2 linked regions of the Oryctolagus cuniculus genome follow. Each later gene encodes a partner of the first gene's protein in a complex. Links are inferred from orthologs where the notes say so. Each region holds a gene or a part of one and is shown on either strand. Other genes may lie near its edges.

Evidence for each region. The genes of interacting proteins can lie anywhere in the genome.
Region 2: DLG4 (region 1) and SHISA6 share a complex: the UniProt entries of both Homo sapiens proteins name them as parts of the postsynaptic hippocampal AMPA-type glutamate receptor (AMPAR) complex. The link is inferred for Oryctolagus cuniculus from reciprocal best matches to the Homo sapiens genes DLG4 and SHISA6.

What each region holds. Positions count from the first base shown.
Region 1 is NC_091448.1:51,806,429-51,813,507, forward strand, and holds part of DLG4 (disks large homolog 4), read right to left. Parts: intron 2,857-7,079; coding exon 2,561-2,856; intron 2,403-2,560; coding exon 2,300-2,402; intron 2,172-2,299; coding exon 2,057-2,171; intron 120-2,056; coding exon 1-119. UniProt on the Homo sapiens protein: Postsynaptic scaffolding protein that plays a critical role in synaptogenesis and synaptic plasticity by providing a platform for the postsynaptic clustering of crucial synaptic proteins.
Region 2 is NC_091448.1:55,332,167-55,339,345, forward strand, and holds the start of SHISA6 (protein shisa-6), read left to right. Parts: upstream 1-3,146; 5' UTR 3,147-3,276; coding exon 3,277-3,920; intron 3,921-7,179. UniProt on the Homo sapiens protein: Involved in maintenance of high-frequency synaptic transmission at hippocampal CA3-CA1 synapses.

The DNA.
Region 1 (7,079 bases):
GCGCCTGCCACCACTCCTCGTCGCTGGCGTCGATGACATGCAGCACGTCCCCAAAGCGGAAGCTCAGGGCCTGGCTCAGGAAGCCGCAGTCCTTGGTCTTGTCGTAATCAAACAGGGCCCTGGAGGCCAAGTGGCTACTGGTCAGAGCCTGGGGCGGGGTGGGGGGGGACTCCAAGAAAGGAGGCACCAGCCACCCTGGGCCCCGGGGTATAGGTCCTGGGAGAGGGGCCAGTGGTGGCACTGCCATGGGAACCCAGCAACTGTGAGCACCCAAAGCTCTGGTGTCACCAGGACTGTTAACTGTCCTCAGTCTACGCTGCGGACAACTTCCGGAGTGAGGGCTAACCTCCACCTCTCCGGGAAGCAGGCTGAAGCACACAGGTGTGTCGCCAAGTCACCACAATCTGCTGAGATCCATAGGAACTAAGAGGTCCCCTACACGCAAACTGGTTACCCTAAAAGCAGGAAATGCCTCCCACTCCGTCCTTACACCCCTGGCTTCACAAGAGAAGGGACAGCAACCCTCCCTGGGAGAGCAAAGACGCAGACTAAAGTTCCGGAATGAGACGGGAAAGGACAGAGTCCCAGGATCGTTCAGCACCCACCGGAAGTCAGAACTGAAAGACCCTGGGGTAGATCCCAGCAGGGAGGGGAGGGCCGAGAGGACCCAGGTCTCACTCAGCCTGGTGTCTGGGTGGACGGCGATGCCACTGAGCAAGAGGGAGTAACACTGCTTGGGCAAGACGGAGACCTCACTACCCAGGAGAAAGACCACGAGCTCGGTGTGGGCCATGCTGAGCATGAGTTGCCTATGGGACATCCCAGAAAGCACATGGCCAGAGCTGCAGGTCGGCACCTCCAGGAAGAGGGCAGGCCAGGGCAGACAGCTCTGAGAGACGCCTGCAAGACTCGGGGCGGCCCAGGCTGTGCAAGTGGACAGGATCAGAGAGGAGGAGAGGGGCTGGCGGGCACCCGGGCTGCAGAGTCCATGGGGGAAGGGGGAGTCAACAGCAGGAAGGGCCCTAGGAGAGAGCAAGGCACCAGCGAGGAGACAGGAGACAGCCGAGAGCGCTGTGGCCCATCTCTCCCGAGACGGAGGCTCGGGCAACACTCGAGCTGTGCCAGGGGGCGCTGCTATGCCAGGCATTAAGCTGTGAGGTGTTAAATGGTGGGCAGCCCGGGAGTCCCCCGGCAAGGAGAGCAGGCACCTCAGAGACCTGAGACAGAGCCTGTTCCCCGCCCTGCGAGCACAGTCTGCCTGGCAACCTGCAGGGTGTCAGTTCCAGGAGGCCCCGCAGACACAGAATCCCTGGATGTTCAAGTCCCTTACATAAAATGCTATTTGCATGTAACCTACGCAATCCTCCTCTGGTCTTTAAGTCATCTCTAGATCATTTATAATACTGAATACACTGTAAACACCTCACGCGTACATTGTATCGTCTGGGGAAGGAAGACAGGATGAAAGTCTGGACAAGTCCAGCACCGTGGTTTTTTCAAGTATTCCTGATTCACAGTGGGCTGACTCCGTGGATGCCCAGAGGTCAACTGTGTTTCACAATGTAAACCTGGGGCTGGTGCTGTGGCCTAGTAGGTTAAGCCACTGTCTGCAGCCCAGGCATCCCATATGGATGCCGGTTCCAGTCCCGGCTGCTCCTCTCCTGATCCAGGTCCTTGCTAATGGACCTGGGAAAGCAGTGAAAGATGGCCCAAGTGCTTGGGTTCCGATACCCATGTGGGAGACCCAGGTGAAGTTCCTGGCTCCTGGCTTCAGCCCGGCCCAGCCCTGGCTGTTGTGGCCATTTGGGGCGTGAACCAGTGGATGGAAGATGGCTCTCTCTCTCTCCCTCTCTCTCTGTAACTCTGCCTTCTGGAGTGACAATGTAAACCTCTGTAGCCAAGCCCTCCTTGATCACCACGTTGGGCGCCCGCCCCGGGGTTGGGAAAGGGGAACAAGGCAGGGCTAAGGGAGAGTGGCTGGGGAACAGGGAACAGGCACAGAGCAAAGGAATCCGGCCCTGGGAGCCTGCGGAGCCCGGCCCAGCGAGCCTCTGACCTGATGTAGAACCCCCTCTTGGGGTTGCTCCGCAGGGAGGCCGTCCCTGAGCCCAGGCTGCTGTTCATGAGCTGCTCTCGAAGGTCATGGATCTTGGCCTCGAAGCGGCTGTACTCTGAGGGAGGACCAGACAGTTCCAGAGCTCTGCCCTCCTCCTGCGGCCACTCCCCTCGCCCCCAGACAGCCATCAGCCCAGGGGAGAGTTCTGAGGATGCCCTCGGCGGGGAGCCCCGCGCCGGGTACCTTCTGGTTTATACTGAGCGATGATCGTGACTGTCTGGCCCGCATTCTTCAGGGCAATGGCGGCCTGCTCGTGGCTGGCGTTACGGAGGTCCACCCCGTTGACCTGCAGGCAGGAGCAGAGGCTGTGTGGCTGGGGACAGGGCGGGGGCACTTCCCAGGTCCACATGGAGTAGGGATCAGCCCAGCCACATACACACACACACACACACACACACCCCGCCCCAAGGAGCTCGGTGAGGGGCGGGGCAGGCTTCCCCTCACCGACAGGATCTGGTCCCCCTTCCGCAGCTCCCCACTGAGGTCCGCAGGGCCCCCGGCCAGGATGAAGGAGATGAAGATGCCTTCACCGTCCTCGCCGCCCACAATGTTGAAGCCCAGGCCGGTGGAGCCCCGGTGGATCACGATTCGCCTCGGCTCCCGGGGAATGTCCTCCTCCCCCAGCAGGTCCTTGGCCACAGGCGAGTAGCGCCGAGGGGAAGTGGGGGTCATGGCTGTGGGGTAGTCGGTGCCCAGGTAGCTGCTGTGACTAATCTCGTTGTCCAGGTGCTGGGAGTACGCTGAGGGCGGACACGGGAGGAAAGACAAGGTGGAAGTGGATGGAAGGGACACGGCACCCACTGCCCCACCTTCCCCCCTGGGCAGGAACCCAGAGAGCCAGACTCAGGTGAAAGGGAAGCTGCCCTGCCAGGGATACCCCCGTGGGGACGTCAGACACGGCCCTGCCAGGGGTCAGCAACTTACAGGTGGTGTCGGGGTGGTTGTGGGAAACAAGGGATTTAAAGGCTTTTTGTCCACAGCAGGCCAGGGATGAAGCTACAGGCTAATGGGAATCCATGCTTTGGGGGTTTTCTTCTGGTTGCTGTCTCTCTCACATCCCTTCAGCCACAGAATTCCTCTCCCTCTTGACCACTGATTGAACAAGCTATCTGTCTGCAAGAACGTCCAACATCCTACCAGGGGAATCCAACAGAGAAACCTCTGCCTGCATCCTCAAGGTCTGCTTCATCCTGCATCTCTGCCCTCCACCTCCTGTAAGCTGGCAGTTGGTTCTGGGGGTGCAACCAGGTTCCAGTTCAATTTCTAAATACAGCATCCGTCACAGGCAGCGCTGAGCGCTCCCTACGGCCCCACCACTACTGCATCTCTGTTGGAGTGACGAGCAGGGTTGGTGGCTGACAACCTGGTCTATGCACTATCAAATGCCTGCCAGTCTTTCACTTAAATTTTCAAGGCTGTTGATGATCACTGCCTGGTTTAGATATTCATCAGGGTTTGCAAAATGGTGATACTCTACTTTGGGTGGGGGAACAAGGAAGCATTTGTTAGCAGGAATTCTATAAAGAACTGACTTACGTAGACCACTCTGAGATGGGAAGACAAAGGTCTGACAGTCCCTCTTTATTTTCAGAATGAATGGGTCCCTTTATAGCCTCCAAAGGTACCCCAATATTTTAAATCACTATTGCGACCCCATAAATTTTAACTCAAGGAGTTCTGATTCAACAGCCAGGAAGAATCCCTTAAGTTGGGCTCCTGTGTCTTTGACATGCTCTAGTAGTCCTGGATACCACCTTTGCTTTCTAGAATGGAGGTCAAGTGAATCTTAGATATTTCTTGCCCAGGACTTTTTTTTTTTTTTTTTTTTTTTTTTTTTTTTTTTTTTTTGATAGGCAGAGTTAGACAGTGAGAGAGAGAGACAGAGAGAAAGGTCTTCCTTCTGTTGGTTCACCCCACACTCCCCAAATGGTCACCACGGCCGGTGCGCTGCGCCGATCTGAAGCCAGGAGCCAGGTGCTTCTCCTGGTCTCCCATGCAGGTGCAGGGCCCAAGCACCAGGGCCATCCTCCACTGCCTTCCCGGGCCACAGCAGAGAGCTGGACTGGAAAAGGAGCAACCGGGACTAGAACCCGGCGCCCTAACCGGGACTAGAACCTGGAGTGCCAGCACCACAGGAGGAGGATTAGCCTAGTGAGCCACAGCGCCAGCCTTGCCCAGGATTTTTTTTTTTTTTTTTTTTTTTTTTTTTTGACAGGCAGAGTGGATAGTGTGAGAGAGAGACAGACAGAAAGGTCTTCCTTTGCCGTTGGTTCACCCTCCAATGGCCGCCGCGGCTGGCGCGCTGCGGCCGGCACACCGCGCTGATCCGATGGCAGGAGCCAGGAGCCAGGTGCTTTTCCTGGTCTCCCATGGGGTGCAGGGCCCAAGCACCTGGGCCATCCTCCACTGCACTCCCTGGCCACAGCAGAGAGCTGGCCTGGAAGAGGGGCAACCGGGACAGAATCTGGTGCCCGACCGGGACTAGAACCCGGTGTGCCGGCGCCGCTAGGCGGAGGATTAGCCTAGTGAGCCGCGGCGCCGGCCCTTGCCCAGGATTTTAAACTGGCTCCCCTTTCCCCAAGAAGGCCAGGCTTCTTCAGGGAGGTTTTGGTATTTAGAAACAGGGCCCACCCAGGGCAGGTGTTTGGCACGCAGTTAAGCTGTTACTTGGGGCACCCACATCCTATCTCAGCGTGCCTGGTTCAGGTTCTGGGTGTCCCACTTCGATCCAGCTTCCTGCTGAATGTGCATCCGGAGGGGCAACAGGTGATGACCCAGGCACCTGTGTCCCTGCCACCCACGCGGGAGACGGACTGCATTCCAGTCCTGTGCGGGCTGGTGGATGGAAGATCGCTCTCTCTCTCTCTCTCTCTCTCTCTCTCAAGTGAAAATGAAAATAAATAAAATCCAAAAGAAAAAAAAGAAGAGCTGCCATGTGACTTAAATATGATTGCACAGTCTGATTTCATATTCAGTAGGGGCAGGCGTACTTCATTACTCCTTTCCAAAAATGTCTTCGTTATTCTCCCACACATATTTTTCCAGTTGAACTTTAAAATCAACCTGCTAAATTCTCAGGGGGAAAAACAACATTTAAATCCTGATTTGGATTTGCATAAAATATATAGATTAATCTGGAGAGGTTTGAGAGCTGTAGCATATTAAGTCATTCCATCCAGAAACATTGTTTTATATGCCTCAGTAAAGTTTCGTCATTTTTTTTTCATAGAAATCTTATATTTCTTGTCAAGTCTGTATTTATAAGAATTTTGTAGAATTGTTTTCTATAGCAAATGAGATCTTCTTACCCATCACATCATCTTTTCATGGCTGGGAAGTTACTGATTCTTGTTTTTTGTTTTGTTTTTTAAAGATTGATTTATGTATTTGAAAGGCAGAGTTAGAAGGAGAGGCAGAGGCAGAGAGAGAAAGATCTTCCATCTTGGTTCATTCCTCAAATGGCTGCAATAGTCAGGGTTGGGCCAGGCCGAAGCCAGGAGCCAGGAGCCCCATCCGGGTCTCCCACGTGGGATGAAGGGGCCCCTCCTCCACTGCCTTCCCTGGCACATTAGCAGGGAGCTGGATCAGAAGTGGAGCAGCTGGCACTGCAGACGGTGGCTTGACCCGCCAGCTCAATTCTGGTTATTGACTTACATATGGCCACATTCTTTTTTTATTTAAGATTTATTTACTTATTTGAAAGGCAGAGTGACAGAGAGAGAGAGAGAGACAAGTATCTGCTCTCTGCGGGCTCACTTCCCAAAAGCTCACAATAACAGGGGCTGGGCCAGGCCAAAGCCAGAAAGCTAAAGAGTCTCCCCGGGTACTTGGGCCATTACCCACTGCCTTCCCAGGCACATCAGCAGGAAGCAGGATCAGAAGCGAATGAGGCAGGGGATGCAGGGCCCACCCCAGGAGGGGATACAGGGATCCCAGCAACAGCTTAACCTGCTGAGCCACAACAGCTCTTCTGCTCGGGGCCACACGCTCACCTTTCCATGTTTTTGTCCATCAGTTAATGACTTGTATTTTAATCTAGATGGAGAAAGTACACTTTACAAGTAAGGACAGCTGTTTCTCTCTTCCATGCGCTCCTTGTATTTTCCTTATCTTGCTATGCTATGTGCATTCTCTAAAGTAGGGATTTTCAACAGAGCGATTCTGCTCTGTGTGTGTGTGTGTGTGTGTGTGTGTGTGTGTGTGTTGTGAGAGGAGAGGGTGGGGACACCACTGTCACTGACAGAGGCCAGGGCTGCTGCTGAATTTCCTACAATGCACGGGACAACTCCCCACAACACAGAGCTATTAGCGGGTTCTGGGTCAGTGTTGGGGAGCAGCAGGTTAAGCCACCGTGTGAAGCCAGCATCCCATACTGGAGTGCCAGTTTAAGCCTTGGCTGCTCTTCTTCCAGTCCAGCTCCCTGCTAATGCACCAGGGAAAGTAGCAGAGGATGGCACAAGTCCTTGGGCCCCTGAGACCCATGTGGGAGACCCGGATGGAGCTCTAGGCTCCTGTCACTGCCTCAGCCAGCCCTGGCTCCTGTTACTGTCTGAGCCAGCCCTGGCTGCTGTGACCACTGGGGAGTGAACCAGCAGGTGAGTTCTCTGTCCCTTTTCTCTGTGTCATTCTGCCTGTCAAATAAATTCATCTTAAAAAAGAGAGAGAGAGGCCAGTGCTGTGGTGTAATAGGCTTAAAGCCTGACTGTGATGCTGGCATCCCATGTGGGCACCGGTTCTAGTTCCGGCTGCTCCACTTCTGGTGCAGCTCTCTTGCTGTGGCCTGGGAAAGCAGAAGAAGGTGGCCCAAGTGCTTGGGCCCCTGCACCCACGTGGGAGACCCAGAAGCTCCCCGCTTCGGATTATCTCAGCTCTGGCTGTTGTGGCCTTCTGGGGAGTGAATAAGAGGAAGGAAGACCTCTGTCTCTGTCTCTCCCTCTGTCTGTAGCTCTGCCTCTCTTTTTTA
Region 2 (7,179 bases), about 3.5 Mb from region 1:
AGGATGAAGGTCACAAGGAACAGGGCTGCTGTCCTCAAATACGTTGTTATGACTCTTAAATGGGTATGTCTATCCTGTCTGCTCTCCTGAGCTGAACAGTGCCATTTAGCTCTCTCCAAGGCACTTCAATCCCACCTTGGCTAGCTCTAGCCTGAACTCGGATGACCACGCTCAGCCTACTTGCTATGGCCATCAACCACCAAACATCTATTTCATCACTTCACTACTTCTTTATTTTTGAAAAAAAAAATTTTTTTAAAGAGAACATATTTATCGACATGAATGACCTTACATTATGTTTCTAACCTTGATCTTAAGCTGATGACAAGAAAATGCAAGTCTTCGGCTAAGTCATTGTTCACCCCAGCAGATCGAATACCTCATGGCTCTGCACGATGCTGTTGCATGAGTTCAGTTTGTCCACAGTTCCTCCATCTTTTTTTTTTTGACAGGCAGAGTGGACAGGGTGAGAAAGAGACAGAGAGAAAGGTCTTCCTTTGCCGTTGGTTCACCCTCCAGCGGCCGCCGCACTGCACTGATCCGATGGCAGGAGTCAGGTGCTTCTCCTGGTCTCCCATGGGGTGCAGGGCCCAAGCACTTGGGACATCCTCCACTGCACTCCTGGGCCACAGCAGAGAGCTGGCCTGGAAGAGGGGCAACCGGGACAGAATCCGGCGCCCTGACCGGGACTAGAACCCAGTATGCCGGCGCCGCAAGGCGGAGGATTAGCCTAGTGACCCGCGTCGCCGGCCCTCTTTTTTTTTTTTTTTTTTTTTTTTTAACCTGGATTATCAGGACAGTTTCCAGACTACTTTTCCTGTACCCAGTCCAATATTCCCTACTCCATCTGACTTAGGAGATCCAGGGAACCTATAAATCTGATCTTCTCCTGATGAAAACTCAGCAATAGTTGCCCCTCAATACGTGGAAGGTGTGAAATAAATTCAGGTTCCTTGGCAAGAGATACACTGCCCTCCTGGGAAAGATCCCCAGGGTGTATCCTGATCTGCACGCATCCCCCTGCTCATACTCTGCTCACTTCGCGGCTTCCTGAATTTGCTAAGGAGGGTCCCTCTACTGGTCCTTCCTCTCTTGCTTGCTTTATTAACTCTCAGTCACTCTTCAAGATGGTGCTCATCGCCCCAGCGAGAAGGCTGCGTTTGGCACCGGGGCACCTGCCATCTGCTCTCAGGGCCCTCCGTGTCCATCTTTACCAAGGGACATCGCCATGCCCCGTGGAAGCCATGTGCTATGTCTTCCCAACCCTTTAGCACTTACAAGGGGCCTGGCGGAGAGTAGGCACCGAACACATGTTGAACAGAATCTTTCAGAAGAGGGTGGCAGCTGAGAGGCAGGGAGAAAGTGCGGAGGAAGAGGGAGAGACTGGAGGGAGTTCCCCCAAGGGAGTTTGGCACCACCTGGCCTTGATCATTGCCCCAGGAGCTCCCCCCTCAGGCTCAGACTCTGCCTTGTTCCAGCTCTGACCCTGAAGAAGCACCCAGGAGGGCTACACCGGAAGTCTCACGGAAAATCCCATACTGCCCGCTTGTCCTCTGACAAGTCTGCTTGTCCCTTGCCTTCAACCAAAGCACTTAGAATTTGGGCCGCGCCCGGGGCTTTTGTTCTCATTTCACCCCCACCTCCTCCAAGGACGCACAGGAAAGAGGCTTGTGACTCCCCCTCGTGGGGATGGCCTCATAGCTTGAAAGTTAGACTCAGGCTTCCTTCACACAACGTCGTTGCTCCCACACCGGCCCAGGAATAACACCCCTCCCCCGCGCGCCTATCCCCTCCAACCTCACCAGCCACACGCAGGAACTTTTCCAACTCAGCTTCAACGCTCTGAACCACAGTCTGGGGACACTGGGAGTGCCACCCACGGCCGGAGCTCCCTCAAGTCCACGACCTTGTAGGTGGTGGGGTGGGGAGGAGGGCTCCGCTCCTGGCAAAGCCACTTGACCCCTGGCCTCAGTTTAAGAACCTGTAGCAATGGGTCTGACCTCTTTCCTCGGCTGCTAGAGTCACCGCTAGGGAGAGGTAACGGCTTGCGCAAAGCCTAACTCCCGTTCTGGAAGCGCGCAGGCAGCGGGGGGGCTCGCGTGGGAACCGCCGCGAGGGCTGCAAGGGGCAACAGGCAACCGCTGGGGAAGTGCGGCCGGGCCGGACGCTCCCGCCCCGCTGCGCGGCCCCTCTTCACCGGCTCGCCGTGGAGGAACTGGTGGCTTCGGTGACGCGCAGACTCAAGTGCTGCTGCTAGGCAGGGGGAGAAATAAAAAGGAGCCCCCCCCCCTTCCCCGGCCCCTAGCATCACCCCGCCCCAGCTCCCCAGGCGCCTAGGCGTGGAAACGTGGGCGGCGGCGAGCGGCCGTCCCCCTCCGCGCGCGGCGCTCCCTGTGCGCCGTGTGTGAGTGCGTGTGTCTCCCTCGCTCCTCTCGCACACGCTCCGGCACTAGTGCAGGCGCAGAGCCCGCGGCTCTCGGTTCGCTGGCTCACTCGCTCGCTCGCTCGCTCAGTCGCTGCGCTCCTGCCTCGCCGCCGCCGCCGCCACTGCAGTCGCAACCGGGCATGGTGAGTGAGTGAGGTTCGGCCGCCGCACGCGGACCCCAAGCTCCCCGCCCGACCCCACCAGCCTTAGCCGGCGCCGTCCCGGCCAGCCAGCCAGCCTGCGGCGGGAGCGCGCGGCGGGCCCCGGCGGCCCGTGCGCTCTTGGTCCCCGGCGCGCAGGGCCGCCCGACTCCGTCTTGGGAGCGAGCTCATTGCCCCTCCCGGTCCAGAGCTTGGCTCCTCGAGGGCTGCGCGCTCCCTCCTCGCCCGTCCGCTGCTCCGCTCCTGCCCGTCGCCCCACCCCGTGACCAGCTCCCTGTCTTGTCCCGCAGGACCCGCCCGGACGGGACCACGTCGCCACCGCCGCCGCCGCCGCCCGGAGCCGCGCTTCGGGTCCTGCCTGAGCCGAGTCGCGCGCGGGGCCGCCGCCGCCGCCGGCGGGGGATGGGGCTGCCCGGCAGGCGCGCCGATCCCGCAGGGGGAGCGCGGAGCCGGCGCGCAGCCTGAGAGCCCTCCCGGAGCAGCCCGCGCCGGGCCGGTCCGTGCGCACCGCGCGCCGCCACTGCCGCCGCCGCCGCCGCCACCGCTCGCGCCTCGATGGCGCCATCGCCCCGGTGCCGCTGAGCGCCCCGCGCAGCCAGCCCGGCCCGTGCGGCCGCCCTCGGAGCCCGGCCCGCCGGGGGAGCGGGCCTGCCGCGGAAGCTTCCCCGCGCCCTCCCGCCCGGCCCCGCCATGGCGCTGCGGCGCCTCCTGCTGCTGCTTCTGCTGCTGCTCTCGCTGGAGTCCCTGGACCTGCTGCCCGGCGCCCACGCCGCCCGCGGCCGCGCCGCCAACCGGACCCTAAGCGCCGGCGCCGCTGCCGTCGGGGGCCGGCGGCCGGGGGGCGCCCTGGCCCGGGGCGGCCGCGAGCTGAATGGCACCGCCCGGGGGGCATCCGGCGGCCCGGAAGCGGGCAGCCGGCGAGGGCAGCCCGCGGCGGCGGTGGCGGCAGCCAGCGCGACCGTCACCTACGAGACGTGCTGGGGCTACTACGACGTGAGCGGCCAGTACGACAAGGAGTTCGAGTGCAACAACAGCGAAAGCGGCTACCTGTACTGCTGCGGCACCTGCTACTACCGCTTCTGCTGCAAGAAGCGCCACGAGAAGCTGGACCAACGCCAGTGCACCAACTACCAGAGCCCGGTGTGGGTGCAGACGCCCAGCACCAAGGTGGTGTCGCCGGGGCCCGAGAACAAGTACGACCCGGAGAAGGACAAGACCAACTTCACCGTCTACATCACGTGCGGGGTGATCGCCTTCGTCGTCGTGGCGGGGGTCTTCGCCAAGATATCCTACGACAAGGCCCACCGCCCTCCGCGGGAGATGAACATCCACAGGTGAGCGCCAGGGCGCGATGCCCCCAGCCCGGGACACCCCCTCCCCCCACCAAGCCCCCAGCTCCCGTGGCCTCTCCCCTCTTAACGTGCCCTCTGGCTTCCACCATCACTTCTTTCACATGCCCTGGGATCTCCGTTGCTGCACAGCCTGGGGGCGGAGGGGGTGGGTACGCTTTGGTGGTAGGGGGCTCGCGCAGCAGAGTCAAGAATTGGTGGAGGCCACTGGGAGTTCAAGTGCCACGGTTTTTACGAAGCCCATCATCGTGCCCAGAGATCCAGGGTTCCCTTATCCAGCCATGTGGGCACTTTGGTTGTGTGGGCTTGATGGCATTTAGCTTTTTTGAGACAAACCCGAGTGTCATCTTCAGTATAGAAAGGAGTCCAGTGTTGGAACCGTACTCAAAAGAGCACCGAGTAGCTTCGAGTAAACTGGGGTGTTCCCTGCGGGGCGGGATGGGGGTGACACGCGGAAGCACAGATGGTGTCTCTTGGAGTGGGATGCTTGTCTTTCCTGCAGAGACCGGACTTGTTCCGTTCAGTTCTGGAGGCAGAACTCGCCGAGGTAACCCGTTCTCGCCGAGTTCTGCCTGGTGGGCATCCCTCACTGCTCCCTCTGGGGACACGGTGGAGGCAGCCTCCTACCAAAACTTAGGCGAGAGAGCTCAGCTGGGGCAGCCTGTGGTTCCCCTCTGAGCGCCGCCCACCCCACTGGGCTGACCCCCAGTGCGACCTGTGGGAAGTGAAAGCCAAGAGAAGTACAGAAAACCCAGCCACTCCTTAGAAGTCTGGGAAAGACACACCCCAGGTTAGCTGCCTTCATGGCGGGGAGGGGCTGGATGTGGCTCAACGGGGTCCTTTCGGGGAGCAAACCTGGCCCCAGGAATTGCCTGCATTTTTGTTGCAGGGTTATGGGCACTGCCCTGATAACCATGGCTGCCCCCGCCCTAAAACCGTTGCTTCTGGGTTGTTCCTGCAATGCCCCACCCTGAGCCGGCATCCCCCTACACTCATCTCCACACCTGCTGTTCTCCTTACGTCCGGAATGGCTCCGTCTCTTGCTGTGTGGACATTAATCACGCTCACCCCCGGCTTGCCAAAGGGAGAGAGAAAGGCAGATAGAAATTTCTAGGCATGCCGAAAGAGCTGGTTTTTTTTTTCCCCTAGTTTGGTACTGTGGGTGTTGAGAAAAGGTGATACTCCCTAGCAGGTCCACACTGTGTGGGTGCTTTGAACTCAGACCTAGAACTGGGCTGACTCCACAAGGAGACCCGCTGATAATCTGTCCCCATCCGAGGGTGCCACCACCTTCCCTCCCACTGTTGCCTTAGCTCTCTGGTGGTACATTTTGACTCGGCATCCGCCTGGAGCCTGTGCTGGCCCTGGCACCGATGGGGCGGTGGATTTTGAGAAATGATCTGGGGTGCAGATTACAGGACAGGTGGGACGAAGTCAAGGCAAAACCCTTTCTCCTTTGAGTCTCGTCTGGCAAAGAGATCTATGTCTTGGTTAAGCTTGGAGAGCAGAGAAGGCATTGCCTGTGAGCCGTGTCCCTTCCTAAGCAGATGGTCCTTATCATCCGTCCACCTCTCGCTTAGGACTTGGAGGAGGCTTGTCTCCCAGCCCCTTCTCCCGTGTCCCTGGCCTCTCATCATAGCCTCTGCTCTCTGCCGCCGGCCTCTTGCTGGTTGATTCCCACACACCCACCTTTCTTTCTGTGGGTTTCTGTTTTCCCTGAGCCATTGTTTTCTGCACTCTTAGAGGAACTTGCTCGCTGTCCTGCTCCCTGGCCCCTCCTGCAGAGTCTGTGCACAGAGAAGGTGGTATCCTGGGATGCTGGGAGCAGGTGTCTTTGGCTGCTGCTGGCATTGGCACATGACCCCAGCGAGGTCACTGTGTCTCCTGGTATTTCCTCCGCTCCCCACTACACAGACACCCCTTATCCCAAACCAGGGTAACTATCGTGACATCACTGCAGCGCTTTCTCTCTGGGGCTGGAGAAGAGTGGTGACCGTGGGGAGGGGACTGAACCTCAGGCCTCAGACCATTATGTAAATGAGGGATGTTTCTCCCTCAAGTTCACCTCCTGCTTTTATTCCACTCACAGCACCTCTTCCAGCAGCTGCAGCCTCGCCTGATCCATGCTTGGGGGAGATTGTCCTATTGACGGTGTTGGGTGGGGACAATGTCTGTGTGTGTGTGTGTGTGTGTGTGTGTGGTGGGGGAGGGTGTGGAGAGGCAGGGGGACAGAGCCTGAGAGGTCCAGCTAGACTGCTTAGAGTGACCTTGTGCAGGTCAGGGGAACTCGCTTTTCAGTTCTGGGTAACCCAGGTACAGAGATCCCACAAGGATCTCTCCCTTCCAGAGCGTGTCAGGGCAGGTGAGCCCACTGCCCTCTCCCTGGCAGGGGTGGGAGGCTCCTGTTACTCTGCCCACGACTCAAAGCTCCCTGCTCACCGTTCATTCCAGGAATTGGGCTTGTGCAGGCTGACTTGTTGGGGAATCAGGGTAGGGATGAGGAGGGAGCGAGGAAGACAGAGAGAAACAGTCACACCCATGGTGAGTTTTCCCCGGGGAAAGTGCAGAGAAGAAATGGGGTCAGGAGGCTTCCAGACAGTTCAGCAAAGTCCCGAGATCCTGCCTCAGAAGGAAAAAGAGGTGCTTATTCGTCCCTGAAGACGGCTGGGCAGGCAGGGCCGAGGTTGCGCAAGTCTCAATGACCTCTTTGGAAAGAAGAGTTTGTGGGCACGAAGGAAGGGGCCGTAGGCCGGGATTGTCGGCTGTGTGCCCCCGCCTGGGTGTTCCCTGGCTGGCCTGGAGAGCCCTCTCTCCGCCCAGGCACAGGTGTTCCTTAGGGCAAGCCTGCCTTTCATCTCGGCACCCCCTGCAGGGAAGAACAGATTCTCATCTTTTCCAGAAGTGGTTAGACCTTGCTGTCCTGTTCCCGAGTGAGAAGTCCACAAGCTCTCTGCTGCACCAAGTCACACTCAGTTAGCCTGCCCCTGACCCCGGGGGAGGGGGAGGAGGTGGGCACAGGGACCGGAGACAGAGCCTTGTCCTGGGTGTGGGAAGCCAGCAGGCAGCTTGTCCCCAGCAGTATCTCTGTCCTGACTCCCCGGTCACTGAAACAGCCCCGGGCTGTGGCTGGAGCTGATGGCCCATAGGCATCCCCCGACTTTCATATTTGCAGAGTGGCCTCTGCCAGGCATCCCCAGGGCTCTCTGCTCAGTGAGAGGTTCCTGATGTCCTCCAAGGCCCGGGC